4 linked regions of the Pelodiscus sinensis genome follow. The protein of the gene in region 1 binds, or shares a complex with, the protein of each later gene. Links are inferred from orthologs where the notes say so. Each region holds a gene or a part of one and is shown in the gene's direction. Other genes may lie near its edges. The genes, in order: MED23, MED20, MED13 and MED16.

Region 1 (7,025 bases):
TGGTGTACAAGGGGGCTGAAGCACACAAAATCTACTATCCTGGACCCCACTTAGCTCTGGTATATGAGGGGAACATGGGAGGTGTCTTTCTCCTTCTGAGTTGGGGGCCACATCAGTGAGGGTTTGTTTGTTTGTATTTTGCTTCTCACTTGTGTTTGGCCCTAGACTTATTTTTCTGTGGGACAGCAGCCCACAAACGGTTCCCCACCCCTGCTTTAGGCGTCTCTTAAAACTGATAAACTGAAGTATGGTTAGATTTAGGTCAGGCTTAGAATTACCATTAGTGCCAGTTTGTGAGTTCAAGGCAGGATTAACATGTGGACCATGCTGAGCACCAAATTAGATTTAGTGTGTGGCAGAATTAAAGACCAGGATTCTGGTTAGGGCTGGGTCAGGTTTGTTTTACTTCTCCCTCTGGCTAGAGAACTGAGAACGCATGCTGCAAGCCTTACTAAACATACAATGTTGCCATTGGGGTGAATAGCTGAGACTGGGCATGCACTAGGGATGTTAAATTTAGACTAATTGAATAGTTGATGGAATTTTCATCGACTATTCAAATAGTCGATAAGGGCGTCTCTGCCTTTGAAATGTAGCAAGAGCCTCACTGGGGCCAACAGGGGGACTCAAGTATTCCCCCGACTCAAGCTGGAGTCAGATGAAGGTAGGGAGGATAAGGTAGGGTGGTGGGGAAGGTCCTCCAGTGAGATAATGACAAAGGCGTCACCCTCTGGAGCCTGGGGATGTATTTTTGAATCCCCCTGGAGCTTTTGTACATTTCAAAAGCAGGGAGCACTGGGCCACAGGGGGACTTCTTGAGTCCCGCGCTGGCCCCATACTCTCCACAGCGCTTCTGCTTTTGAAATGTAGCAAGAGACTCCCAGTGGAGTTAGTGTTGGGGTAAACCGGCTTTTAAGCTGGCTCCCTCCAGCATCGGCTCCTGCTCCCCCGACTTGCTGCCTCTCTCTGATAAGCATATCCTTATTGGATGGTCAATACTTGCTTACATCCCTACCATGCACAATGCATTTCACAGGCTCTGTGAAACTCACTGAGATGGAAGAATTCACCCTCTCGTTACTTCTACTGTTACTCCCACTAGCGTAGCTATACTAATGTAAACTTTTGAAATATGTGGGGTTCGCTTGTATTAATTTATGACTTCTATATGCTCTATATGTTTGTCTGATTGTTGTAAGGAGGTTTATTGCAAGATAACAAGATTATTTAAGAAAACCCTGTTTGCTTCAGACATCTACTACTAATCCTTAAGGTCCAATGCATGAGCCATCCACTTCGATTACCAGACTAATTTATTAGGTTTTTTTTGTATTTCCAGGAGGCTCTCCAGACTTGTAAATATACAAGAACAAATATCCTAACTAGAAGAAGAACACTGCTGTAGCACCTTAGCGAAGATGCTATTACACAGACCTAAGCAACAGTAACTATGTGAAAGAAGTTGTGTGTACATAACACTCTCCATGGGGTTTGAGTGTATAAAAGCATCACTCCAGATGGTGGATTTTTTACACACCACAGGGCTTAGCATAAAATGGACCGGGGAGGGGGGGTGAGGGGAAATGTACCCACGACAGCTGTTGAGTTGTTTTGCAGTACGGTTTTCTCTTGCACCTTATTCCTACAAACAAGGCTCAGCAAGATTTTGGTTTAGGAAGGCAGCCTGGCCACCGTAGGCACCACTGCTCCCAAGCTCTGGAGAGGGTGCCCAGCAGTCAGTGTTTTTATATCCTGGGAAAATTCCAAAATTCTGGGAATTTTTGAGTATAATGTGTCAAAATGGGAAATTGGGAATTTTCTTGAAAATCTGTTAAATCCTGGGAAATTTTCAATAAAATTAAAATTTCTGTTCATTTTGTCGTTCCTTTGGTATAAAAATTTGCAGACCATTCAGATTTATCAAAAACTGCTCTCAGTTGGTCAATAGGGTTGCCTGTCAATTTTTAGAACTCATTGAACTTGATGCTAAAAATTGAACAGTGGAAAGCATTTATACTAAATTCAGGGAGTCAATGTTCAAAAAAATATCCCATTGAATAATATTTTGGGTGTTGCTTGTGATGGTGCAAATTTGATGATAGGAGCAAATAATTCCTTTTTCTCTAAACTTAGAGAGGATGTTCCAGATGTTGTTTTGTTGAGATGTATTTGCCATATGTCAGCCCTGATATCAAGTTCAGCTTCTACAGTTTTGCCTAATTTCGTAGAGCAGTTTATAACAAATATCACTAACTATCCAGCACATAGTGTTAAAAAGAAAGAAGAAATTGAGGAGATGGTTGAATATTTTCTCCATTTAAATTTATCTATGTTAAACTCAAGTCAAACAAGGTGGTTAGCTGTACACCCTTGTGTAAATAGAATATTAGTGCTGTGGGATGCCCTGTTTAACTATATACAACTTGAGTGTGTCGATCAAAAAAGACCAAAAGCAAAAGAAATAGACGATGCAATGTGTAATCCAGAACTTAAAGCCTACCTACTATTTTTGAAATATGTTTTGGATTACACGAACAAATTCAATGCTCTCTTTCAAAGCCAATCTCCACTCATTCATTGCATTAAACCAGTCAGTGAACCTTTTCAAAGTAATTGCAACAAATTACTTACAACCATATTTCCTAAAAGGTGACAATGAAAGTTAATGTGTCGCATCCCTCTATTTTTATCAAAATTAATGAAATGTATACTGGTCCAGAGTGTGAGGAGTCCTTAAAATGTATTGATCCTAGTGTAGCTATCAATGTAAGAAAAGTGATTCAGCATTATTACATCACTTGTTGTCAAGAAATGCAGCACAGGCTGCCACTTGACTCAGTTGTTTTCTCAGAGGTTGGATTTATAGATCCTAAAATTTGTCTTAGGATGTTGATGTAGATAAAGAAAAAAAAGATATCTCCAAACTTTGTGCAGTATTTAAGATACATGTGAACTCTGCTCAGAGTGAACTCAAAGCCTTGCCATTTTCTTTAGAATCAAATCAAACTGAATGTGTAAAGAATAAGCCTATTAATGAAATGTGGCATGAAATTTCTAAAACGAAACATTTTTCTGAAAAATGTATGTTTTCAAACATTTGTAAATTATCTCAAAAGGTTTTAGCATTGCCACATTCAAATGCAGCATGTGAGAATTTTTTCAATGGTTACAGACATTAAAACTAAAAGGAGTAACATGAAAACTAAAACACTTAATTCTAGTGTAATTATCAGCTCAGCTTTTAAAGCAAAAAAAATGTTCTAGTTTTGTAATTACAAAGAAGCATTTAAGTTTACATAATAAAAATAAGTATGAATATGGATATGCCAGAAAAACTGGTGGTCAGACTGATAAAAATATTAATGCTGGTGATGACATTTCTAGTGAGGAGTCAAGTCATGACTCAACTGAAAACTCATCGTGATAGTTAAATATTATGTATTAAATATTCTATTCATTTTATATGAAACGAAAATATTTTATATTTGACGACTTCCTTTATTTATCATATATAACTGAAATGTATACTGAAGTGTATACTGAAGTGTATACTGTACGGATTTTATCCTCCAGGAGTAAAATAATTAAACTGTTTTATTATTCTTTCATTGTATGAAATACAATCCATGAAATTAAGGATATTTGGATATATGAAAAATAATTATTTTTGGATGAAAAGTTCAGCTTTCATAAAATTATATTTTTAATTATAGAGAGCATCATAAAACCATCAAAATTATTGTCGTATATTTCGAGTTATTAATTATATATATATATATATATATATGTATATAAAATAAAACCAACGAATTAACGATACATAAAATAGCCTTTATAATATGTAAAAAATAATCTGGGAATTTTTCAGCAGATTTGGGACAGCGCTGGCCTGGGAAAAGTTGGCAACACGATATAGAAACGCTGCCAGCCGTGGGGCTTGCTGCCTAAGCCCTGCTGAGCCGGAGGGAGTAGAGGATGCGCCCCCGCCTGAGCACCAGAGAAGCCTGAGGCCTCGCCAGCCTGGGCCCGGCGGTGCCCGCCCCTGCAAAGGCAGAGCAGCGCTCGGCTTGTGCGCTGGGCGCGTCCAGCAGCAGCGGGGCGGGCCTCAGGCCGGGGAGCGAGGCGCGCGGAACTGCCCGGCCCGGGGAGCTGGTTCCCGGCGGGGCCGGATTCCGGGACGCACCTTCCGCCGGGGCCGCGGCCGCCTGAGCCAGAAGCCGCCGCCGCTGTTCGGCTCCTCAGCGCGGCCACCCCCAGGCGGGGCTGCGGGACCCGGGCCCGGTTCGGTGCCGCCGCCCGCAGAGAGTCGGGGGCCGCGGGGCGGGGCCATGGCCATCCCGATGGTGCCGATGGAGACCCAGCTGCAGAGCATCTTCGAGGAGGTGGTGGTGAGCCCCGGCCGGGCGGTCGTGGGGCCTCTGCGGGGAGGGGCTGGCTCGAGACTTCAGTGCTAAGTGGGGTGCGGGCCTGGCGCGCTTTGGCCGGGGGAGGGGAACACGGGCCCCGCTGTGCCGGCGTTAAGCTATTGAAGAGCCTCACGTGTCCCGCTAAGAACGGGCGGGCAGAGCGAGAGAAGAGTAAAGCGAAAGAGCCTGGGTCTCGGCTCCCTTCTTGCCTAACTGCTGTGGGGGGAGTGATAGGTGGGGCAGAAGCTGGTTTTAAGGAGGGATTTAAAAGAGGACAGCTGATGGCTTTGACAGCCAAAGTGGGTTGGGTTTGGGGGGTTGTTTTCATAAAGGGTAGCGTGGTGACGTGGGAGAAATCATGAGAATGCTTGAGCCAGAAGAGGGTGATCAAGGAGGCATCACTGGTCAAATGAAGACAGGGTTGGTGGGTCGGTCATTTAGTTATGAAGATGAGTACCACAAGTCTAAATGATAATCCTGAAAAGCAAAACCCAGGAGTTTTGTGTTTGATGTAGTGGAAGAGAGGGGAGCCAGTAGGCTACCAAGAGTAGAGAGATGTGGTTGGCCCTAGAGAGGTTAAATTTTGATTAATTAACTAATTGAATAGTCCGTGGGATTTCTATCTATTATTCCATTAAGTCAATAAGGACTAGCAGGCGTTCTGCCTTTGAAATGTACAAGAGTCCCAGCAGGCTGAGGCTGGGCTCCATGTGATGCTTGCGCTTTGAAATGTACAAGAACCCTTGCTTGAGCTCTTGTACAGTTTAAAGTGGAAGCGCCTGCGAGGAGCCCAGGGTCAGTGTGGAACCCCCCGCTGACTCCAGGCTCCATGCCGGCACTTACGCTTTCAAATGTACAAGAGCCCCAGCAGGGACTCGTGTACGTTTAAAAATTGGACCGCTCTCCATGCAGGCGCTTCCTCTTTTTTTTTTAAATGTACAGGAGCCCCAGTGGGGATTCTTGTACATTTCAAAGTTGGAACTCTGCTGCTGCACACCTGTCCCCTCCCATGGAGCTGGAGCGAACTGGCTTTTAAACCAGCTCTGCCCCCCCCTCCCCCCCCCACCTCTCTGTGAGTGGGGGAGCGGCTAGTTGACTAGTATGTTGACTATCCGATAAGCTTTTGCTTATAGGTTAGTCAACTAATGGATTAATCACATCCCTAGTTGGAGCTAGGAAAATAAGCGGATCCCTTTATTTTTAGTAGATTTAAGGAATGTGATGTGGCAGATGTCACAGTCAGAGATTGGGGTTATAACACTCAAAGTCTTGGATGACAATGGCCTCTACAAGAGATTTGGCAGTCTGATGCAAAAGGCTGAATCTTAAGTAGTAGTAGTAAGGCAGCAGTTCTCACAAGTTACTCTTCCTGGCAGCCACTTTGACTTGTTTTCCTAACATATTTAATTAAATTTTGGCAGAACAAATAAATATGAACATATACATGTCCAAATCCTTCTAACTTATTTGTGTAGAGTTCAAGGGATTTTTTTTTCTTTTTTTTTTTTTGGTTTACAAATTCAGTAATACAAATAATGTAGTTGTCTCTATTCTTCACTGGACCTAAACAGAATAGAAATACAAATAAAGTGCTTTGTACCATCCTATCTTTTTTGCCTGCTCCTTTTGCTCATTTCGGGGTGGTGGTGGTGGCGTTTGTTTAGATTTGCTAGCTAGCAAGTCATCTTCTGTGAAAAGTAGGGATGTGACCAAGTAAGCATCACCCTTAATAATTAAGGGTGATGCTTACCAGGTAATCGTTAACCATTAACAAGGAGCAGTCCCCATGGGTGGAAATTCAGGAGACTATCTGTTCCAAACCCTTGCTCAAAGCAGGGCCTCAACTAAATCATTCCAGCCAGGGATTTGTCAAGCCAGGCCTTAAAAACCTCTAAGGTTGGACATTCTATCACCTCCATATGCTTACCACTCTCCTAGAAAAGTAGTTTTTCCTAATAACCACCCTAGACTTCCCCCACTGCAGTTTGATCTGCTGCTTAGCCAGTTGGTAGCCGGTTGCTGCTTAGCCAGTCAGTAGCAGTGAATGGGATTTTTTTATCTTAAGTGCAGGACCCTGCATTTGTCCTAGCTGAACCTCATCAGATTTTTTTTTGGCCCAATCCTCCAATTTGTCTAGGTCACTCTGGACCCTATCCCTGCTTCCTGCGCATCTACCTCTCCCCCCCAGCTCAGTGTCATCCACAAATTTGCTGATGGTGCAATCCATCTCTTTATCCAGATTAATGAAGATGTTGAACAAAACTGGCCCCAAGATAGACATCTGGGGCACTCCACTTGATACTGGTTTCCAGATAGACATCAAGCTGTAAGATTTTAAAAAGCATAGACATACTTTAAAATTTTAATTTTAAATGTTTATTTGGGATGTTAAAATGGTTAAACGGTAGCACTTGGCTGGTTAACCATTTTAACCTAGTTCCTGTCCAGCCCTATCGCAGCTGCAGCTGGGGGTCCCACCACCCAGCCCAGTGGCTCGCGGTGACCAGGGCTTCTCCAGCCCAGCATGTCTGACCACCTCTGGAGTTATTGGCAGTGTTTATTTTTTAAAAATGTGTGTGTTAATTTTTTTTTAAATAATCTTTTTATATCTACCTTGCA
Region 2 (7,917 bases), on another chromosome or scaffold:
CAGGGGTGATTTTATTGGAAAGCCTGGTGCACATTAACTAATCACACTGGAATTCCCTCTGTTCACAGGCTTCCACGCACCTCGGGGCTTCTGGACGCAAGAGAATTTTAAAAGCAGCTCGAATGTCCTGTCTTACCACCAGCTGAGCAGTAAAAACTCTCTCAACATAAGAGTGCAATTAACAGTCCCAGAGGTTTTTTTCCCCCCCGTATCTTGGATGTAATGACAGAAAGGATGGAAACCTCAGACCCTGCAGAAGGTGCCTCCTTATTGACCCTGACGCACTTTACAGAGACAGCTGTCATGTTCCGCCCCAGAGACGGCTGCATGTTAGCAGTGGGTGAAGATATTCTTCAGCACAAGCCATGAGGCTGAAGACACAAGCCATGACAACTGTGAATACTGGCCATGGGAACAGCTGAGCTTGGTTCAGTCTAGCTCCTGGCAGAGCTACAATGCGTTGAAGATGAATGCTGCTACACAAATGCGATTGCTCTTACTTCTCTGACACCCTTGTAGACCTCCAGCACCCGGGGGTCCAGCTGAGGCATGGGGTGGCCTGATATTTCTGACATCACGGTTTCCACCTCGGTCTGCTTCTCTGTAATCTTCTCCATGATGATATCAGCTAGCGTGAGCCTGGCAGATACAGGCGAAGGAATCAATGCAGAGCTGGTATTAGGCCTAGGACAGAATCAGCCTGTTCCTTGGCAAACCAACCTGCAAAGGTTGGTTACTGTGGAGGTCAAATTACAGAGGAGGTCAAGTTACAGTGGAGGAGGTCAAAGTTGGGTATTAGGAAAAACTATTTCCCTAGGAGGTTGGGGAAGCACTGGGATGGGTACCCTAGGGAGGTGGTGGAATCTCCATCCCTAAAGGTGTTTAAGTCTTGGCTTGACAAAGCCCTGGCTGGGTTGATTTAGTTGGGTTGGTCCTGCTGTGGGCAGGAGGCAGGACTCCATGACTCCTGAGGTCTCTGCCAGCCCTGGAATTCTATGAAAGGCAGCAGGGCCTAAGAACAAAGCATTGCAGTAGGAATCAGAGCAGGGAGGTTCCACAGCCCACTCTGCTACTGCCCTGCCGGGTGACCTTGGGAAAATCTCTCCCCCTTTGGTGCCTCTATTTCCACTCCCATCCTTTATCTGTCTTGTCTATGACGGGTATGTCTGTCTTTGGAATACAGGTACAGCACCAAGCACCTGATCTCAGCAGGGCCTCTAGGCACTGCAGCAGCAACAGGCAACCTAAGCTACTGAGCAGGCCGCAGGAGTGGCCCTCCATCTCAGTGGGCCGCAAGAGTGTCGTAACCAATATAGCCTCCCGGGATAGGGTCATTTTGCTCACTGCGCTTGTGTACCTGGAATTCGCAGGGCATGCCGAATGAACTGTAGCAGGGTTTTGATTGGTTGCAGAGCGAGCACACAGCTCTCGCAGCCAATGCTGTGTGCAACCAGCACACACCTCGCCTCACGTGCTCTTGTTTTATGAGTGTGTCACGTTTGCAATACCGGCAGGGGAAAAAAACCTGACGCCAACAGAAACTAGTGGGATCTGGCAACCCCGCGTATGGGCAATGGTAACAAAATATTTCATGGGTCATAGGCTGCCCACTGCTGCTCTCCAGCAATTGGAGTTACTATGGTTGGCCCCATGCATATGCCATGGAGAGGACATGCAGCATTATCTACCGTTTGGGCACAGGAGAGTCAGGAATCCTGAGTTTTATTCCTAATTCCGCCTCTGACTTGCCTTAAGAGGTTGGGCAAAAAACAATCCTCCCCTATGCCTCAGTTTCCCCAGCTGTGGAAGAGTGATGGACCTTCAACCAAACCCACCCTCTAGAATTCACGTAACCTCTTCAAAGCGCTGTTTTAAACTTCAATGCTATCCGAGTGCAGCGCAGTTGGGCCCAGTACAGAAACACTTACATCCCTTGGCTCAGGGGCAATGTTCCAATTGTTTCCATCTATGTGCAGAATAAGTTTTATTGCGTGCACCGTGCCATGTGCGGATGTGCACCACCAATAGAAAACGCAGGCTGGCTATAGGCCCTCTGCTAATCAGGGGGGCAGCCTTTTAATTTCTCGCGATCGGGGTTGCTTCCTACCTTAGCGGAGGATTCCTGTTCATGAACATCTCAATAGCTCTCTCATCCTCAGGGTCCACCGTCACCTCCTCACAGTACTCTCCCTTTCCCATGGATGCAGCCTTCTCCAGCGCGGGCCACTCATCATCCTCTGCGTCAGAATCCCCATCGCGCAATCCGGACCCTGAAATAAACCACATCCTGTTAAGGTTGGACAAATAAGGGTGCAGAGCCAGTAGCTGGGTGGCCAGTGAGATGAATTTACAGCAGCTCCTTTCTAATGTAGACAACCACCCACTATAGGAAGGCAGACCAGGGATACCCAGGGGCAGTCCATCTGAAGGGGCAATCAGAATTTCCATCCAGGCCCAAAACGTGCTTCTCCTCTGCCAATTGCTTAAACAACTGCTGTGGCCAGCCAATAATGTTGGAGCACAGATGTGCAATTAAATATTACGGTGCATATTTCAAGCTTTATTAATTAAAGAATTAAAAACGGTTTCAGGTCCTATATACGTGCATCCCCGCCCCGCCGCCTGTTTTTTAGGGGATTATAACCAGCATTCCCTGTAGCCTGTGCGCTTTTGCAGCTGCTCAGGTGGGATTCAAATGCCACTCAGCTGATTAGCAGAGCATCCACAGCTAGGTTGTGTGGTGCACATTCACATATACCTCGATGCCCATAAAAATGTATTTTGCACATGGATGGAAAAGATTAGAGGGTATAATGATTATGATGTGTGTGTTATACACACTGAACTTTATACTCAGACACAGACTCATCAGCTTTAATACAACTGCTCAGTTTTGCAAGATCACAGACTAGGGGCCATGCTGTAAAACGTATTTCGGTGACCAACTCCAATACCATTAAAAAGCTGGTCCTAAGTGACAAATAAACTGACTAATGCAATGTACTGTCATATGTACAATAAAAATATTATTTGGGACAGGAAATGAAGAACGTATTATCCAGGTGAAAGGATGGTTCACTGAATAGACTATGGCACTAAAACTCAAAAAACCTGGGTTCAGTTCCTAAGTCAGATTTCTTGTGTGACTTTGGGTAAGTCCCTAGATCTCTCTGTGCAACTGTAGACTCTATTTGTCTCTAGTATCTCCGAGGTGCTGGTGTAACAGAACCAAACCTGGAACCTTTGGAATTTAGTGTGTGAGCCTCTACAGCTTCAGTTATAAACCAGCTGGCTCTCAGCTGAGGCTGTAGAGGAAACGTACTCTTCTTCTCCATAAGGGGCTCAGTGCCACTCCATGGGACAGTGAGACACGCCCAATCGGTGTGTGGGTTATCACTGTAAGGATAAGATCCCTTCATGATAGAGATGTCAGATACTGTAGTGATGGGGGCAGTTTAAGGATACATACAATGGATACAAGGGGGGGATTTACGGAGGCAGGATGCCTTCCCATGAAAAAACTCAGACCAAGCTACAAGGTTAGCACACCTGTCCCTTTTGCTGTCTCATCCCAAAGGCAGCCGCCAGGGCAGCACAATGCCTCCTCCCACGACACCGGGACTTTTGTTTTAATCCGCTGTTCTTAGAGATCGCCCTGCGCTTCAATTCTCCGCCACAAACAACGGTAAGAGAATCAGCGCGGCTCCCCCACTCACCCAGCACCGTGGTCTTCTCCTTCTTCGCTTCGGTTCCCTTGCCTGGACAGTGCTCCGCCTCCAGCTCCTCCTGCTGGATCCGAGCCTGCTCCAGGATCCTCCGGGACAGCTTCTCATCCACGTACTGCTCCTCCTGCTCCCCACCGCCATGCTGCCCGCCCCTGCCTCGCCTCTTCACCCGCGTGGTGGGCCTCACCGAGTCCCCTTGTATAATCTGCTCGGCCAGGGGCAGGTTCCTGGCCGCCTCCCCTGCGCCCCTCCGCCGCTTGACCTTAGGCATAGTGATCCCCCAGCGCTCTCCCCGCAACCTGCGGGAAGTGCACGTGTGCGGCCCGACAGTGCGCGTCTTCGGAAGAGGGAGGGCGCATGCGCTCTTGGAACGTTGGGAGTCCTTCCGTTCCAAAATTGGCAACAGCGTAATGAACGCTTGTCTCCAGTCTCGGCTCTTAAAGGCGCAGGCGTGCTATTTTAGGGCGCCTTCTAGGAACCTCTCCCAAGGCAGAGCTTTCAATTCGAGGGAGTCCTTCGTGCGACAGCGAGTTCCATTTTCAGAAGCAGCAGAGAGAAGGGGGATTTATTGACACACGGACTGGAGCCACCTATTAATGGGCATAAATTGCAGCAAGGGAGGTTTAGGTTGGACATTAGGAAAAGCTTCCTAACTGTCAGGATGGTGAAACACTGGAATAAATTCTCTAGGGGGGTTGTAGAATCTCCATCACTGGAGATTTTTAAGAGCAGATTGCAGAAACATCTGTTATGGATAGTGCTTGGGCTTGCCATGAGGGCAGGGGACTGGACTGGATGACTTCTCAGGGTCCCTTCTAGTTTTAGTGTCTAGGATGCTATTAACTCCACTGAGATACATTAGCCTGGAACAACTTGGTGGCGGGGCAGGGGATATTGGTTACTTGGCTACATAATTCTTAGGGTCCTAGAATAGGATCAGCCCACACCAGAGTTCCATTGGGGCTCGTTAAAATCTTTTGCATCAGTGGTTAACATGCCCCTGGGCTCCTAAAACCTGATTTTACTCCAGCCCCTTCCTCCCCCCGTTTATATTTAGTGCCATCTGCTGCTCGCAGTCCTTGGGGACTAATCTGCCTCTAGGAGGAACTAGCTTTGTAATTCCCACCTACCGAGAGGCAGGGGGACTGGCCAGAGACTGGAATCCTCCCCTCTTGCTGATATCATTTCCTGCTGGGTGCTTGACACCGCAGAGGGGTTGGAGCTAGCGAGTGTGCTTCCTCCACGGAGAGATACACCCCTAGCCAAGTCACTGCTGCAAGTATATTTTTAAACCGAGATAGTATCAGCTCGCCCTCGCCGTCTTGCATAGGGACCGGTCCAGCCCGACGTGAAGATTTCAAGAAGCATGGGAGTTACCTGGTGAGACGTTCTATGTCGCGTGGTTAAAAAGGATACATGTGGTTGGGTCCTGATTGGCTTGCCATTAATGCCACGGCGTGGGGTTTGCAGACGGGGGGGTCTGCAAGGAGCAGCTCTGCTTCGGCAGCTTTGATCTAGCATTGCACCGAATTGCGGGAGAGGGAGGGCTGAGGATTTGCAGCAGGGTGAGCTCATTGCGCTGAGCCCTAAGAGGTTAAGTCCTTAGGAGCTGCTCTGTGGCAGGAGGAGCTGACAGATGCGTTTTCAGGCTGCATTGATTCTTGCGGCTTCTCGAGCCTGTGTTGCAGTGGCTGGGGCTTGTCTTACTGTTGGAGCCAGCACCACTATCCTGCCTCACTAGGGATGCTAAATATTGTGTAATTCAATAGTTGTGTAAGCACATGAAATCTTAGAAGTTACACGATTATTCGATCGCCCCTGGGGGCGGGGGTGGCAGCGGCAGCCAGTGCTCTCCCAGCCCCACACCTGGGGAACCCCCTACTACCTCAGGCTGCTGCCTCTGTATCAGAGGCAGCACCAGGGGATGGCAGGCGGGAACAAGTTCACAAGGGAAGCCAGTTAAAAAACAGCTCCCTGCGCAGACCGGCTAGCTGCAGCCCCATGCTGCTGCCTCTAAGACGTAGGTAGCAGCGTGGGATGGCAGTAGCCCCTGTCCGTGTAGGGTGGGGGGGGAGGTCTGAGTTCCCTGCAGACAGAGTCTGGTCTGCGACAGCAGGCCCTGTCCACGGGGAGCTTGGACCCTCCCCCCCAAAAAAGGACAGGAGCTGCTGATGCAGACCAGCCTCTGTCCACGGCAAGCCCAGGGTGCCATGGACGGAGCCAACTTCACAGCAACCTCCCCTGCCTCTCCCACCCCCGCATTACTGCCGCTGATAGAGGCAGCAGCGCCAGGGGGAGGCAGCTCCACAGAGCTGATGTTGGGGGGAACCTGCTTCTGGCTGGCCCCTCCTCTCTGCCTCTGTAGGAGGCAGCAAAGGGGGTCAGGTAGGTCCCCAGAGCCAGCACTCATGGGGAAGCTGCTTGAAAGCCTGCTCCCTGTGCGTATGGACTCCAACCTACCCCCCTCATCCTCTGCGCTGCATGTAGTCAACAAGATTAACCCATAAGTCCAGGCTTATTGGTTAATCGTGTAGTTGACTACGCATTGACATCCCTCATCGTCACATGTGGCCAGGTGGAAATAATGGGAGAAGGCACCCAGCAGAGAAGAACGTGGCTGAGGCCGGGTTCTTGCTCAGGCGTGTGAGGAAGATCAGAACAGTGATCCATCAAGCCCAGTGTCCTGTCTTCCAACAGTGGCCAATGCCAGGTGCCCAGAGGGAATAGGCAGAACAGGGAATCATCAGATAATCCCTCCCCTGTTGCCCGTTCCCAGCTTCTGACAAATGGAGCATGATTTTGCATCCCTGTCCGTCCTCACTAATAGCTATTGATGGACTTATCCTCTATGAACTTAGCTAGTTCTTTAGAACATGTTATAGACTTCCCCTTGACAACATCCTCTGGCAGGGAGTTCCACAGGTTGACTGGGTGTTGTCTGAAGAGAGACACCGCTGCTCAGGGAATGCAAAGAGGGAGGTGGGTTATGTTCTGACAGGGATCTAGCTAGGGCATGTTACCGACACGCTATGTCAATACTGCAGCTCGTAAAATAAACTAAAGGGATAACTGGTATTGCAGTCGGTATCAGGGGCACGGAGGGTATGTATTTAAAAACAGGAGACCAAGGATTTATACTACTTAAGCGGGAAACAGAATTGCTCCATGGATAATATGGGATCAAATGTGCTCTTGGTTATCTGGGTCTATCACTGTAACGGCAAAAATCTTGTGTAAAACAGATTCTTTTGTGTGATGCTCAGTTTATACGTTTATAGGGTGACAAGGAAAATTTACCTTTACAGTGTCCCGTCTGTCCTGGTATTTGGCACCCTTTGCTGTGGTACTGTGTGTGGTGCCAATACTTGCTGTGTCTGCCTTAGGGGGTCTCTTAAATGTCTGTTAACCATGGGATGTTTGAGCGGCCTAGAAGCCATATGCAAAGCTGTTTTATCCTTTTCTGGGTGTTCTAGCTTCCTTTGCAGGCATGGGTTCAAATCCTGCTTCTGAACGGTCTCTTTAATGATCAGCAGTCTTTCTAAAAGCAATGCTATAGCTCAAATAGAAGTATATGGGTTTGATGGAAGAATTACTCTATCATACTCTGTGCTATGTTAGGTAGGAGGTCAGACTGGACTATCACAATGGTCTCTCTTGGCCTTGAAGTGCATGAGTCAAGTATGCAAGTACCCTACAGATCCAGCAACTCATATGTTGGCTTCTGATCTCTATTATAGACTTTATAAGTACATTGACTGCTGAATTGGATTCTGACTTGGTTACCATGTCTTTCTATTAGGGATATTAAAAGGTAGTTAACTAGGTAACTGTGTAGCCGTTAACATTTTTTACCCGTTACACACTGTGGGCTCTGCAGTACTAAGTTTATACTGCAGAGCAGGGGTGGTCAACCCGTTACAGACAAAGAACCAAAATAGTGGTGGATACAGTGCAAAGAGCCAAGGGAAAGAAGTTGTTGGGGGGGGGGGGAACCGCTGCCCCTTTAACAGCCGTCGGCCGGAAAGTTGTTGAACCAAAACCCCCCCAAAAAACCCCAACGCTGCCCCTTTAAGAGCTGCACGTGGCCCAGACAGGCTTCTGTTGGCCGCAGCGTCAGCTCTCGCTGTCCCAAGCGGCACCCTGACCAGACAAGGAAAAAGGTCAGAGCACGGGAATGCAGAACAGCCGCGGG
Region 3 (7,332 bases), on another chromosome or scaffold:
GTGTTCCAAAGGGCCCTCCTCCCACAACCCATCCCTGTCCCTAACTGCTATATTTACAAGAGCAGTAAGGGAATGAATCTCTTGGGTTAAAACATTCCAGGTTAGTTCTAATTAAAATAAATAAAATAAAATAAATATCCTGCTAACATATGCTGGCATACAAAAATAATATTTCTGTGAGAAGTAAACTTATGAAATTTTTTTCTGAAAAGCAAATCTGTACCTGCTCATTGACCTTTTATATTATAAACTTATAGTGTCCTTTCCTCCCACTCCTACTCAGGACCTGTAGCACTTAGACACTGAACACATCTATGGGCCCTAAAGTAATTTTCAGGGTCTGTGAAGTGTCAGGTTTCATAGCTTTACATATCTTTGATCTAATGAGTTGGGTTAGCAGGAAAACATATTGGCTATGTCTACACTACAGGGGTTTTGTGCAAAAACCTAGAGAGCATCCACACCTCAAGCATGTTGTGAGTTCTTGCGCAAAAAGTTGTGTGTGGATGCTCCACAGGGGTTTCTTGCGCAAAAAGAGCCTATCAGAAAAAGCACAGGTGTTCTGATGGCCATTCTGTGAATTACAATCAGAACTTTCTTGTGCAAGAGTGTCCATGCAGCGCGGACACTCTCTTGAGCAAAAGCACATCGCTTTTGCAATGCGCTTTTGATGTGTGAATATGCTTTTGTGCAAGAAGCGGAAGATCTCTTCCACGAAAAGCTTCTTGCACAAAAACCCTGCAGTGCAGACAAAGCCATTTTGATATAAATGTTATGTTAGCCAAAATATTTGAAGGTATCTTTTCTTTGCTTGAGCCACTTTTGCAAGTTTAAAATACAACCGCAACAAACTAGGGATGGTAAATATCAGTTAATTGAATAGTTGAGTTAACTTGTGAATTCTTATCTGGTAGTCGACTATTCTATAGTCTCTGGGGGCGGGGCCAGCAGCCAGTGTACTCTGGCCTCACTCCGGAGAAGACCCCTGCCACTCCACACTGCTGCCACTGTATCAGAGACAGCAGCGTGGGGTGCCAGGTGGGAGCAGGTCCATGAGGGGAGCCAGTTTAAAAACCAGCTTCCCTTGTGGACTGGCTGCCAATTGTTACGTGGTGCTGCCTTTACAAAGAGGCGGTGGCAGCAGCCCCTGTCTAGGGGGTGGTCTGTGCTCCCGGACCTGGCGTGAGCTGGAACTGAGCTGGGCTGCCTGCCCACCCAGCTCCTAATATTCTTTAAATGCAGAGTGTTTAAACGCAGTGGGGGTAGGTCCCAGACCCATCGCAAGCCAGGACTAAGCTGGGCTTCTGGCCAGCCTGATAAAAAATTTACTGGCAAGTATGGGGGCAGGAATGCATGTAGTCTATAGCACTAACCTATAAGCTTTTGCATATCGGTTAATTGACTACACTTTTACATCCCAATAACAAACATATATATGAAGTCACATAAAATAATAAAGCGTTAAAGTTTGTATTCTACCTGCAACCTAGTAAATGCTATATAATAGATCCACCATGATGGGGTTAATACAATGTTGACTACTTTTAAAAACTTTAAATTTTAAAGTTATTTTTTCAAATAAACGTTATATGACTAGAGTACTTCTACTTCTGAACAATTTCATCCTGCTTTTGCAGCTACATACAATCACCACCATAAGAACAAGCTTATTCTATCATACACACTGCATAATACTTTACTGAGAATGGAGCACAGTTCTGCATCAGGGTGGATTTGATGGCTATAGAATCATGGAATACATAGGTGTTATAAAAAACACTCTGTGTTTTCTAAACTTTAAGAGACAAAACCCACTCCTGGAGCACAACTAGCTGTTCTGTGGGGTGTGAGGAGGGGAGTAAGATATGTCTTTGGGTCCCACTCTGTTCTCATGGCTTACCTCTTGAGCATTACTGCTTAGCTAGCTTTAATTATTTTACCCTATCTTCTCAGTATATTAAAGAATAATTACATAAGTTTGTATAGTTTTAATTGTGCCTATTATATTTAAAGAACAACAAAAACATTATGCAAGTCGAAAGTCAGCACTTCCCAAGTTATTAATACAATCAAATGTCCTGTAATTTAAATTTGAAAGCAATCTGCTGCATTGCTTAATATCACATAAAGTAATCCGCTAATTATTCAACATGGAGATTTGTTGAGACATACATTATGCTGTAAACAGCAGCATTAGACTACTTACAGTTGTAGCCTCATGCATTTTGCTTTCATGCCAGTCCATGGTCCAAGACTTCTGCCAAGGGGGGTAGATTATGCAAGCTTGTGCTCAAATGAAATGACTGCCCCGTTCATTGAATGCTTTTGGTCCATTGTAGACTGAAGGTAATTTGGGAGTGGTGGGGATCAAGGCAGGGAGCTGAGAGTGTGGGGGGCTCGGCAGAGGGGCTTTTGGGGTTCAGTAATAAGGGCAGGGTGATATGGGGGGTGGTGCAGGAATCAGAACAAGTGGTCGGGGGTCAGAACATGGGCCTGGGAGGTTTAGGAGTGAGTGCAGGGGGAGTGAGGGTGTGCAGGGCTGCGGTCCCACACACTGATGATCAGGGAGCAAGAGGAAGTGTGCAACTTGTGTGAAGAACACCTCTGCCCCTCTCCTGGGCAGTCAAGAGTGGCAGGAAGGCACACAAACTGTGCATTTTTCCCCTCCCTACTTCATAATCAGAAGAGGAGGAAGAGCAGTGGGATCCAGGTAAGTGAGGCTGCAGGTCTAGGGACTGGGGATGTCCTGGACTGGCGGGGAGCACGTGCACACCCCCAGCCAGCCCCTTTCACCTGCCTGGCTACCTGCTTCTGAGCAAGGCAGTCTACTGGGGAGCCCGCCTGGGAGTGATGGCATTCAAGCACCCCAGCTGGCCGGCTTCTTCTCGCCAGAGCACTGTATCGGAGCGCACCGGCTTACTTTCACCTCTGGATTTGGGGTCGTCTGTGGCCATGGGCCTGCATGCATGGCATGTCCTGCATGCCCCCCTAGTTTTGCTTTTGCCTACTCTATAAGTGTAAACTCCAGTTTGCTCTTGTGCATTGACCTCTATCAGTATGTGCCAGGATTTGGAAAAAACTTGAGTTCTCCTTTCCTGGATTTAGGAGGAGTTGATGAGGCTTGGATTTTGGGCCCCATCCTTAGGTTACTGGCAGGTGCCACAGGTGGGTATGTTGATAATTCTTGAGTGATATATGGGAGGCTGGAATGTGAAGCCAATTGGCCTCTGTTCAAATGCTGCTGGATGGAAATATGGATTACTCCCGCAGGAGATTTAAACTAGCTCTTTGGGTGGGGATTTAAAGCCCAGAATGGTAGGACCTGGTAGGGAGACAGGTTTCAACTCTGTGTCCAATGTGAAGACTTGTGGTAAAGCGGGACTTTGATGTTTAAACTAATTGCAAAGGAGCAATGAGAAGTCCTGTGACACCTTAGGCATGGTCTTTGCTAAAGAGGAAAGTCAACTTAAGAGATGCAACTTCAGCTACGTTTATTATGTAGCTGGAGTGGAAGTATCTTAAACTGTGTTTTGGTGCTTGTCTATGCAGCAAGAGACATACAGGAGCAGATGTGCCCTTGAAGTCCCTTAGTCTTCATTAGGACTACCAGCACCGACGGGCATGCCCTCCCAGTTTGAATTAGCATGACCTGCTACTTCCAATCCTGGAAGATCAATTGTGGCAGTTTCCATCGTCTCCATAGTGTAGATGAGCCCCACGGGACTCACAAAAATATATAGCATCATGAACTTTTGTAGACAACACCCACTTCATCAGATGATGAGCTGGAGAGGAATAACATGCATAAGTAAAAGCGACGAGGAGTCCTGTGGCACCTTATAGACTAACTGAAGTGTAGGAGCATAAGCTTTCGTGGGCAAAGACCCACTTCGTCAGATGCATCGAAGTGGGTCTTTGCCCACGAAAGCTTATGCTCCTACACTTCAGTTAGTCTATAAGGTGCCACAGGACTCCTCGTCGCTTTTGCAGATTCAGACTAACACGGCTACCCCTCTGATGCATAAGTAAGTATTTTATAACAGGGGAAAAAAAGGAGGCACCTGTTAATTGTGGGCCCGCTGCTAATGAGGCGATGTAAAAATGAAGTGTTGAAGGAGCAGCTCATCCTCCCGCGCCACGCCACGGAGCCCCACTAGATGTCGCTCTCTCAACGAGCAGCGAGCCCCCTCTTGCGCAGCTCCCTAGCGCTGCCACAGCCCCCCACGGCCCGGCTGCGCCATTGCAGCCTCTTTCCCTGAACCTCGACGGCGGCCATCGCTGCTCCAGCCCACGTGACGCGGCGGCGGCCAATCAGCGCGCGGAAGGGGGGGCCCCCCTAGACTCTCGTCCCTGTGGCCGCCATTAAAGAAAAAGGGGCTCGGAATTAGACGGGAAAAGAATCTTCCCCCTCCCCCCTCGGCCGGGACGCGACATGGGGGCGACTCGCTGACGGGAGCCGGACGCTCAGGATGCCGCGGCCGGGCAGCCGCCGACAGAGACACCGCTGAGGGAGGAGGCCCGGCAGCAGGGGCTTCGGGGCACCGACTGCGGCCGCCGCGTCCCTCTGTCTCGGCGGCGGGGCCGGAGCGTGTGGCGTCGCCCCCCTCCCCCAGCTGAGGAGAAGCCGGGGTGCGGCGTCCCCGCCGGGGAGATCCGGGGTTGGCCCCCCCGCCCGCGGAGGCCCCCCCCCCCGTTGAGAGCGTTTGGGGTCCAGCCCGCCCTTTGGCCCCTCCCTCCCCAGCTAGGGAGCTCGCGGGGTGCAGCCCCCCCCGTCCCGAGAGACCTCTCATCGGAAGACTTGCGGGGTTCGCACCGGCGGAGGGACCTCCCCACCCCACGGCGAGTCGGTGGGGCTCGGAGCGCCACCCCTCCGGGGGGGGGGTCTGGTGGGGGTCAGCGCAACTTCGGGGTAGGCCCCTGCTGAGGAGAGACTTCGTGGGGCTCTGAAAAAAGCCGGGGCGCAGCCCCTGGGGAGCTCCCCCCGCAGCGCCTCGGAGGGGCGCCCTGGTGTGTCTCTCCCTTCCCTCCCCCAGCGAAGAATCTGCACGCACAACGGAGACTGTTGGGCTGGTTGCACCCTTCAGATAAGAGGATTTTTTTTGATGGGGGGTATGGTGACACGAAAACGTACCTCGCTGGACTGCTGCTGAGGGGGCTTTCGGGGTCCCCTTCTGAAGAACCCCCCTGGCGGATTTGGGGTACACCCCGGGAGAATTTTACCCCAGTCTTGGGAATCCTTAAAACAGCTGGTTTCTGAAACCCGAAGTTTTTGTCTGATCTAATCTTTAATTTATTTGGAATATATTTTGAGGGGGAGAAGAATCTGACACCCCCGCTTCTTCCTCTTCCCCTTCGGACTCTATCAACCCTCTACCACTCATCCCCCAGTCATTCCACTATTTGCCCCTCTCGTCTGGCGATTAAGAAAACGAGGAAGAGCAGGGAGGTGGCTGGATTAATTGCCCCTGTTGGATTATTTATTCCTCAACTCCCTCGTTTGGCGACTGAGATAAGAGGGAGGGGTCGTGAACCCATTTTACTTCCTGCCCCATTGGATTAATTACCCCACTTCTCTCCCCTTGTTGGATCAGTTACCCTATTCTCCCCCCTTGGTCTTCGATTGAGTAGACGAGAGGAGCAGGGAGGATTGTGTATCTTAAATCTCCCATCGTTGGATTATTGACCCCTTCCTTTTTTCTTCCCTTTCCTTGTTGTCTTTTCCCCCTGCTTTGGCAGAAGAGAAGGAAAGGTTCTGACTCTTGCCCATTTTACGCCGCTCTCCTTCTGAATATTTTACCTGACACTATTCTGTGTGTGTGTGTGGGGGTAAATTCCCTTATTTAATTGTATTATTTGTGCGTGTGTGTAACCTCCCTCCCCCCTTCCTTCTGTGTCTCTCCCTCCCCTCAGTCTCTCTCTCTGTCTGTCTCTTTCTTTCTTGTCGGAGGCTGTGGGATAATGGCGTGTGGGTTGTGGCTGTGAGGATGAGTTCCTGCTTCGTGCCGAACGGGGCCAGCCTGGAGGATTGCCATTCCAACCTATTCTGTCTGGTAAGTGTCCACCAGCTGCGGACACACTATACACAGAGGGAAAGAGTTTTTTTTGAGGGGGGGGGGGCGATGGGGGCGGGGGATGGAAGGGGTAGTGGAAGCAAAGCAGCCATTTTTAGTATAGCTTCTGCTGGATGAGTCCTCAGAGTAGGCCCTGCCTGGAACCAGCTAGCTTTTCTATGTCCCTCTGTTTTTCCTCCTCCTCCTCCCCACCCCCCTTTCCACCCACATCGTTGCCTCTATAATACCGTCTTTCCCTCTTTCTCTTGTCACTTTTGGCCAATATTACCCCAACACTTAGATTTTCCATTCTGTTTGCTTGCCCCCAACTTTTTTCTGCTTTCTATTAATTTTTTAGCTCTACCTTCTCACATTTTTATTTTAGTCCTGACAGAAGGTATGTAGCTCCACTACTCTCCTTTCCTCAGACAAACTTTGTATGCTTTCTCATCCCCCTTAGTGATGCCCCAGAAAAAATCTCAGCTAAATCCTCCCTTTTTCCTGGATTCTTAATGCTTTCTTTGTCTAATTTTTTCCGTAAGAAGCTGGTTTTGGTGATGATATTCTTACAAATGCATATGCCAGCCTATACTTGTGCACCATTTCACATCCTTTATTTTTTTAACTGTTACTTTTGACAGCTCCTAAAGCCAGCTTGTTTTGGGTTGGGTGATGGTGCATTTTTGTGTGTGGCTATGGGGATTGCTGACATCTCATTTTCCTTTTAATGCAAATTAGTTTGTATCAGGTTGATGGGTATTTATTATTGCAGAGACTGTTGTAAGTAAACCCTGTGTCTTACTGTTCTTGCTGTTGTATGTTTTGGGGGAGGGGAATCTGGGCAGCTTGAGCATGTCTGCAGGATACCAGTATGAAGGCTGCATCAGGCCTGCAGCTCAGTATGAGTAACATCTTGTAAGTCTTTCAAAGTACCAACTGTTGCAAATTCCTTAGCAACCCTGAGTCCAAAGCCTGATCTTCTAACTGTGGTGGGGGAGGACACCCCATTAGATAAACTGTGCAAATTGTTGTCATACCTGGGGGAGGAAAGACAGGAGATTAGAAGTATGTGGGAGAAGGGGGGTGGGGAATGGTGTTAAGCGCTAGGAACCCCCTGTACATGTTCATTTATGAGGCTGAATTCATTTGGCACCTCCTGCCATGTATCTTGAAGTCATTGTTGCATTTAACAAGGGTCAGGGTTTAAACCTTGTTTTTTGGTACAGTGCTGCTTTGTAAACAATAGTTAAAGTGTAGTGATTACCTGTATGACTATGAAGAT
Region 4 (6,910 bases), on another chromosome or scaffold:
AAGGTGCGGCGAAAAGGACAATAAATCGCAGTGCTCCGGAGTCGCCTGTCTGCGCATGGGTCACGTAGAGCGATCGCTCGTCCGAGCCGGGCGGGAGGGTCGGGGATGTGGGACGCTCGGGCTGCGTCCACACTGGCGTTTTCGTCAGTCGGCTGGGAGAAAACCGCCCCACAGCCCCTTGCCCATCTGCTGGGAAACGCCCTGGTGTGGACAGCGCTGCCAGCGGGAGACGCGCCGCCGCCTCGCCGTGGGGCAGTTGGACAGTCCCTGCGGGAGAGCTGGGTCTGGACAGCTGGGCCTCTGTGGGGGGCAAAGACACAGCTTCATGGAATAGCCTATTGCAGGAAGACGAGAGGCAATTAACACGTGAGTCATCCTCGCGGGGAGAAACTGCAGGCGGCTGCTGTTGCCTTCGCCAATCTTCCATGTAGATTAGGAAGAAATTCTGCCAGCTGCCGCCCCCCGCTGAGTTTAAATCCACTTAGCGCCATGGGTGTCGGGAACCTGACATAGGCATGAATTATGTTTTCAATCCATCTCCCATTCAAAAGCTTTGTCCTCCATAATAGCTGAGTTCTGAATGTACCGGGCCCAGCCCACCTGGTTTTCGTAAAGGTGGGGAGGGCGCAATTTTGAAAGGGACTTTTCTCCCTTTTAACAGTCAGTCCGTGTCAGCTCACAGGTTCGACTAGCTGGCCATATAGAGGTGAAACGAGATTATAAGCCAGGGGAGAGCTGTGGGGCCCCTCCTAAATCGGGCGAAACTGACGTCTCCCTGTAGCACGCGGCCTTTGGGTTTTGAGAGAACGATGCCGGCTGGGAGGAGGTTCCTCGCTACCGTTCAGCGCTGGCTGTGCCCGGTCTGTCCCGGTGCCGAAGGACTGTCCCCGTCCCAAACGGCTTGTAACTTGGAGGGTGACCTGACAGGCCCATGAAGCAAACACAGGCTGAGGTGAAGGAGCCGGGGTACCACATAGGGCTACGTCTGCACTGCAGGCTTCTTGCACCAGAGCTGTTTTGTGGAAGAATTCTTGTGCAAAAAATCATCCCCAAGAGCACGTCCGCACGGCCATGTGCTTTTGCACAAGAGCGTCCGTGGCAGTGTGGACGCTCTGTTGCGCAAGAAAGCTCTGCTGGCCAATTTAACCAGAAAGTCATGTTGCCTGTCTACACCTCCTTGTGCAAGAGGGCTTATTCCTCCTGGGGAGAGGAGTAACTCTTCTGTTTTCCGACGCTCTACTGTAAATTTACTTGTGCAAGAACACGCGTGCAGTGTAGACAGCCGGCAAGTTTTTGCGCAAGAACTGCTGTCCTTGCACCAGAAGTGGGCACTGTAGACACAGCCAGGATGCTGCGATTCTTAGCCGATGGAAAACAGCCCTTGCCCCCTCCCTGGTTAAAGTCCTTGTGCAGAGTGTTAGACACAAGGTGGCTCCGATTCAGCTGAACCCTCTGTGTGCCCAAGGTCTCTGGGCCGGCTCCCGTACATTATTTGTACCGGGCTGATCTGTGGGGGCCCCCCCGGTGAACAGAGAAGAGCCAGACCCGAAGGCTGGAGAGGCAAACCTGCTGTCCTTGTGCCAGAAGCGTGCAATGTAGACACAGCTTTTGATTGGATGTTTATTGGGGCTCACTTCCAACAAACACGAATCCCATTTCCTCTTCCCTTCGTTTCCCACCCCCTTCCTGCTTCCCCCCCAAACACAGTAATATTTGCAGCTGTCCCGTCCCCGTTCTCCTGAAATGTAACTCTCCAAGCCTGGCAATTGCATCCCAGCGCCTGGAGTGATTTACACCCAGCAAAATCAATTCTAGCGGAGATGGAAACGTTTCAGAGCCAGACAGATAGAGGGGGGGAGGGGGTGCATAGCGACAAACGGCTTCCACACCCCAGCCCGCAAGATCTCGACCCAGACTCCGGTTTTATGCCCTGTAGGAACTCGCCTGCGCTCTGGAGGCCGCAAGAGGCAGGCCTGCTGTGGTAACACCCCCAGCCCCCCTTATCGCAGCCCCCAGGGAGCAGCAGGGGCTGCTGAGTGTCAGTGGCTCCAGCTCTTCTCTTGGGGGGTCCCAGAGCTCAGCATCCTGTGGGAGCAGCTGCCCAGCCGGGAAGCAGCCCCCGAGCCCTGGGAACCTGTCGCCTGCCAGCCGCAGGTGTCTAGCTGCAGCATAGATACGCGCCTGGCGGCCTCCTGTGGGGAGCCCAGCCCCCCCCGTTCCCGGCCTGGAGTCTGGCCCTGGCTCGGGCACTGAAGATCCAGGCCTGCTCCTCTTCTGCATTGTGGGTTTTCCTGGGCCACTCCCTACTCGTCCTCTACGTCCCCCCGGGGTCCCTCGTCTCCCCTGGCCTCCTCGAGAGCCCCCGGCCCTGCCTCTCCAGCCCTGGCCCCCGCTGGGTTTTATTGCCACTTAGCCTGGCTCATTCCCAGCGCTGCAGCTGCCTGCTGTGTGTTACCGGTGGTGCCTGATTCCCCTGGGCAGGGCTGGGATCCAGCTGGCTCCCCCCTCCTCCCCGTCTCCAGCCTCCTTGGGATGCTGCTGTTCCCCTGGGGCAGACGGCCTGGAGTTTCCCTTATTTATCAGGCTAAGATCCATCCTTCCCTGCCCCCACGTTGTGCAGCCTCTCGGCGCCCCACCAGCCCCAGGCATGGCCCCCGGGAGGTGACTGCGGAGAGCAGTGGCGGGCAGGGGCAGCAGCTCCACCAGCTGGAAGCAGCAGAAGGCTATTATCCTCCTGGGGAGCGGCAGCTGGAGCGATTGGAGCGTGGGGGAGTCAGTCGAGCCGGGGGTGGGGGGCGCCCAAGGGCGACACAGCGGGGGGGGAGGGGGATGCAGATGAGACTGGGGCCTGGTTACACCCGCAGCCCATCTGCCCCCAACGGGCGCTGTCAGCCACGGGGGCTGCAACGAGCCCCGTGGGCAAACAGCCCGGCGCCCGCCGGGGCCACGAGCGGCTCCCCAGCTGTTCTACCAGTCGGCAGGGCCGCTCTCCCCATCTCTCAAATCACAAGTTACTGGGGCTTATTTGCATCTATGCAAATGCCAGGATTCTGGAGTTCTTTGTCAGCTCACCCATAGAAAACATGTTGGGGTGTGTTGGGCTCTATCTAAATCTCAAGAAACTGACGCACATGAGATTGGGGGGTGAAGACAGATCTTGGGGTAAATTTGGATCCTGGGGGAACCATAATATTCGAGAAAATTATATGCATCTGACGAAGTGGGTCTTTGCCCACGAAAGCTCATGCTCCTACACTTCAGTTAGTCTATCAGGTGCCACAGGACTCCTCGTCGCTTTTGCAGATTCAGACTAACACGGCTCCCCCTCTGATACTTAATATTCGAGGATTCCTTGGGTGCAAAGAGAGACTTTAAAGCCGCTGCAGAGGCAGTCAGTGAACTGGAGCATCACAAGAGGAGGCCTTGCAGGCAAGAAAAATATGGAACGCTTCACGAATTTGCGTGTCATCCTTGCGCAGGGGCCATGCTAATCTTCTCTGTATCGTTCCAATTTTAGTATATGTGCTGCCGAAGCGAGCACAAATGCTAAAGCCACCTGAGTAGTATTTATACCTCTACCTTTTAAAATTATTTTAGCTGAGGGTGAGCAAACTATTTTATCACTGTATTTATATAATGAATCTAGTTAGCTCAATTGATCCTTATCATCGTATTGATTTTCTAATAATTTTTTTCATTTATGTTCACTGATCTAGTCGAAATACTCTGCCCCCACTCCGCTTCGGGGCCCTGGAGCATTATGGGTAGCCGCATATGGAAATCACCCCAGCAGCGCCCTCAGCTGCAGAAGGCCCTCCCTTTGGGGCTGCCCCGTTCAGTGCCTGAGCGAATTGCGCCCGGACGGCTCCGAGCCTGCCTCCCGCCCTGGCACACGGGCCGGCAGGGCGGGACTCCCCTCCCCCGGGCTTCGGAGGCGAGTCCGGGCTGCCGCCTGAGCGCGGGGGTTTGTTCAGGCGCGTTTGGGGCAGCCCGGGCCGGGGGCCTTGCTCGGCAGGCGGGAGGCGGCGCGCGGGGATGCGGGGAGCGCGGTGAGTCGGGGACGCGGCCACTGCCCGTGGGGGGGGGGCGGGGTCGGTACCAGGCTGGGGGGAGGGGCGGGGAGGGGTCGGTACCATGGCGGGGGGGGTAATTAACTCGGGGGGGGTAATTAACTGGCTGGGGGAGGGGGGATAATTAACTGGCTGGGGGAGGGGGGATAATTAACTCGGGGGGGGTAATTAACTGGCTGGGGGAGGGGGGATAATTAACTGGCTGGGGGAGGGGGGATAATTAACTCGGGGGGGGGTAATTAACTCTGGCTGGGGGAGGGGGGATAATTAACTGGCTGGGGGAGGGGGATAATTAACTTGGCTCGGAGGGAGGGGGTAATTAACTCTGGCTGGGGGAGGGGGGATAATTAACTCGGGGGGGGTAATTAACTCTGGCTGGGGGAGGGGGGATAATTAACTGGCTGGGGGAGGGGGATAATTAACTTGGCTCGGAGGGAGGGGGTAATTAACTCTGGCTGGGGGAGGGGGGATAATTAACTCGGGGGAGGGGGGATAATTAACTTGGCTCGGAGGGAGGGGGTAATTAACTCTGGCTGGGGGAGGGGGGATAATTAACTCTGGCTGGGGGAGGGGGGATAATTAACTGGCTGGGGGAGGGGGATAATTAACTTGGCTCGGAGGGAGGGGGTAATTAACTCTGGCTGGGGGAGGGGGGATAATTAACTCTGGCTGGGGGAGGGGGTAATTACCCATCCTTGGGGAGGATAATTACTATTTTTGCCTCTGGGGAAAGCAAGGCCCCCCCCCCCCCCACATCTGGGAAGAGGTGGCCCCTCCCCCCTCGCCCAGGTCTGGCTGTGCTAGGTGGCGGGGGCTCGGGCTCCCACTCACTGCAGCTCGGTGGTGCTGGGGTGATCGGGGCGGAAGACCCTGGCTACCCGCACGGTTGGGAGTGGAGGGATTCCAGCGGCCCCAGGGGGCTGCCCTTGGTAGCAGGGGTTCATGGGTGCGGGGAGAACACACTCGCAGCCGCATGGTAGCCCTGCCAGGGACAGACGGCATACCTCTGGGGGACCCCCTTTGACCCTCGCAGATCGCTTAAGGGAAAAAGAGGTTTTCTAAAAGCGTCTCAGACTCCTCGTCCACTTTCATCCATGGCTAGTAGCCATGTTTCCACTCCAGAGGCTGTACAGATACTGCCCCTTTGCCCCATAGGGCATTTCCGGGGTAAGATCAGGGATTGTTAAACAGAAGCTCAGAGGGAGTTATTATCTCGTGTGCTTATTGGACCTATATGTAAGGAAGTGACCATCCAGCTCCCCACGTGGGCTCTTGTTTTATCTTCACCGCGTTCTTCCCTCAAATAGAACGATTTCATTCGTGGCCTAGGGCGATAGGTGCCCACAAGGAAAATGAGCAATCTGGGACTTGGATTGGAGGTTTGGTACTCTTGTACCTGGGAAGAGGTGGAATAATGGATAATCTGTATGATTACGTTCTCCCCACTTTAGAGGAAAACTTAACCTTTAAAGCAGGTGCTCGTGGCTGTAAAGATTATGCACTCTATGGCTTTCCTTTCTCCCCAGATGCCTCAGTATGGGCTAAGCCTACTTAAAGAAATCTTAATTAATGGTGCTCAGAATCTGTATGAGACACATTCCATTTGGCTTACATTTAGGGACAAAGGATGAGTTATGGAGATTGGGAGGCTCTTAGGTGGGAGATCTTGATAGGAATGAGGTCCTGGGAGAATGGAAAGGATGGCAGGGAGCGGAGTTAATGCAAAGGAGAGCAGAGGCAATGAAGGGGAATCCAGCTATCACAGGAGTTTTTAAAAGGGTAAGGTTTAAAACTGTAGCCAGGATGGGAATTGTCTACTCTGACTGACAATGTAAGTCAGTGCATCCTATTTTTAATGGGGATTGCACAAAGCAGCAAATTTCCTCTGAAAAGTGAAAATGGCTGCAGCTGTGTTTAAAGGGGATCTTTGACAATGTACCTAGGTCCTTTGAGCGTGTGACTGTACAATAGACGTTTCTCCTATTCAGAGATTAGTCATCTGTTTCTTTCCTATGCACAGAAATCTATGAATAGGCTTTCAACAGGCAAGTGGCGTCTTGAAGGTCTTCCAGGGCACAATGGATTTGGCATATGTCTGTGAGTGGGAGAAAAGGCCCAAAAGCAACCATTGTCCTTCCATCCCGTTGGTGTGCGCGTGGTCCTGCAGGAACTTGATTGCCTTCACAACTGACCTCAAAAACGAGGAGGAAAAAGGTACCCGTCCTCCCATTTCTGTGTCTTGTGATTTGTATCTGTTCCCCCTCTCAACACCTATGCACAACCCCGAGGTGGAAACCCCCCTGCTCTAGGCTATTCTTGCAGTAGAAAATAGATCTTCGATTCGTCAGAGCAGAGACTTGATTTCTTGGACTTGTAAATCAGCACATGTTTATGGCCCTATAAAAAATAACTGCAGCCTTCACTGACGACCTGCAATAAAAAATGGAATGTTTTAAAAATAAACTCTACTGCCAATTCTTGACTGGACTCGGGTCTCTCCCTGCCTAGATCTTACCCACATGATCCATATCTTGGACACGGAGCATCCGTGGGATGTTTATTCCATTAACTCTGGGCACATTGAAATCATCACCTGCTTGGAATGGGATCAGTCAGGTAAACTACTTTTTATAGTTGCTTTTTTGAGGGGGCTAGGGAGGACTTCATAAAATTGCTCACAGTGTGATGGGGCATAGAGAGGAGATTGTGAAGGTCTTTCTCTTTTAGATTCCTGCTGTCTGAAATCTTTGGAAGTGCCCATTGTGTAATATCTGCGCTGCCTAACTCTGGCTGATCTGCATTGTGAGGTCCATAATGGATTTCAGAGAGCACTGTGCTTC

Evidence for each region.
Region 2: MED23 (region 1) and MED20 share a complex: the UniProt entries of both Homo sapiens proteins name them as parts of the mediator complex. The link is inferred for Pelodiscus sinensis from reciprocal best matches to the Homo sapiens genes MED23 and MED20.
Region 3: MED23 (region 1) and MED13 share a complex: the UniProt entries of both Homo sapiens proteins name them as parts of the mediator complex. The link is inferred for Pelodiscus sinensis from reciprocal best matches to the Homo sapiens genes MED23 and MED13.
Region 4: MED23 (region 1) and MED16 share a complex: the UniProt entries of both Homo sapiens proteins name them as parts of the mediator complex. The link is inferred for Pelodiscus sinensis from reciprocal best matches to the Homo sapiens genes MED23 and MED16.

What each region holds. Positions count from the first base shown.
Region 1 is NC_134713.1:93,693,535-93,700,559, reverse strand, and holds the start of MED23 (mediator of RNA polymerase II transcription subunit 23), read left to right. Parts: upstream 1-4,023; 5' UTR 4,024-4,328; coding exon 4,329-4,388; intron 4,389-7,025. UniProt on the Homo sapiens protein: Required for transcriptional activation subsequent to the assembly of the pre-initiation complex. Component of the Mediator complex, a coactivator involved in the regulated transcription of nearly all RNA polymerase II-dependent genes.
Region 2 is NC_134737.1:9,513,380-9,521,296, forward strand, and holds the start of MED20 (mediator of RNA polymerase II transcription subunit 20), read left to right. Parts: upstream 1-4,898; 5' UTR 4,899-5,091; coding exon 5,092-5,105; intron 5,106-7,917. Other genes in the region: BYSL (bystin), read right to left, coding at 501-639, 2,108-2,270, 3,717-3,996. UniProt on the Homo sapiens protein: Component of the Mediator complex, a coactivator involved in the regulated transcription of nearly all RNA polymerase II-dependent genes.
Region 3 is NC_134731.1:5,974,061-5,981,392, forward strand, and holds the start of MED13 (mediator of RNA polymerase II transcription subunit 13), read left to right. Parts: upstream 1-4,316; 5' UTR 4,317-5,984; coding exon 5,985-6,050; intron 6,051-7,332. UniProt on the Homo sapiens protein: Component of the Mediator complex, a coactivator involved in the regulated transcription of nearly all RNA polymerase II-dependent genes.
Region 4 is NC_134729.1:16,242,605-16,249,514, reverse strand, and holds the start of MED16 (mediator of RNA polymerase II transcription subunit 16), read left to right. Parts: upstream 1-3,905; 5' UTR 3,906-4,049; intron 4,050-4,839; exon of another isoform or gene 4,840-4,859; intron 4,860-4,866; exon of another isoform or gene 4,867-5,849; intron 5,850-6,090; 5' UTR 6,091-6,148; coding exon 6,149-6,284; intron 6,285-6,578; coding exon 6,579-6,686; intron 6,687-6,910. UniProt on the Homo sapiens protein: Component of the Mediator complex, a coactivator involved in the regulated transcription of nearly all RNA polymerase II-dependent genes.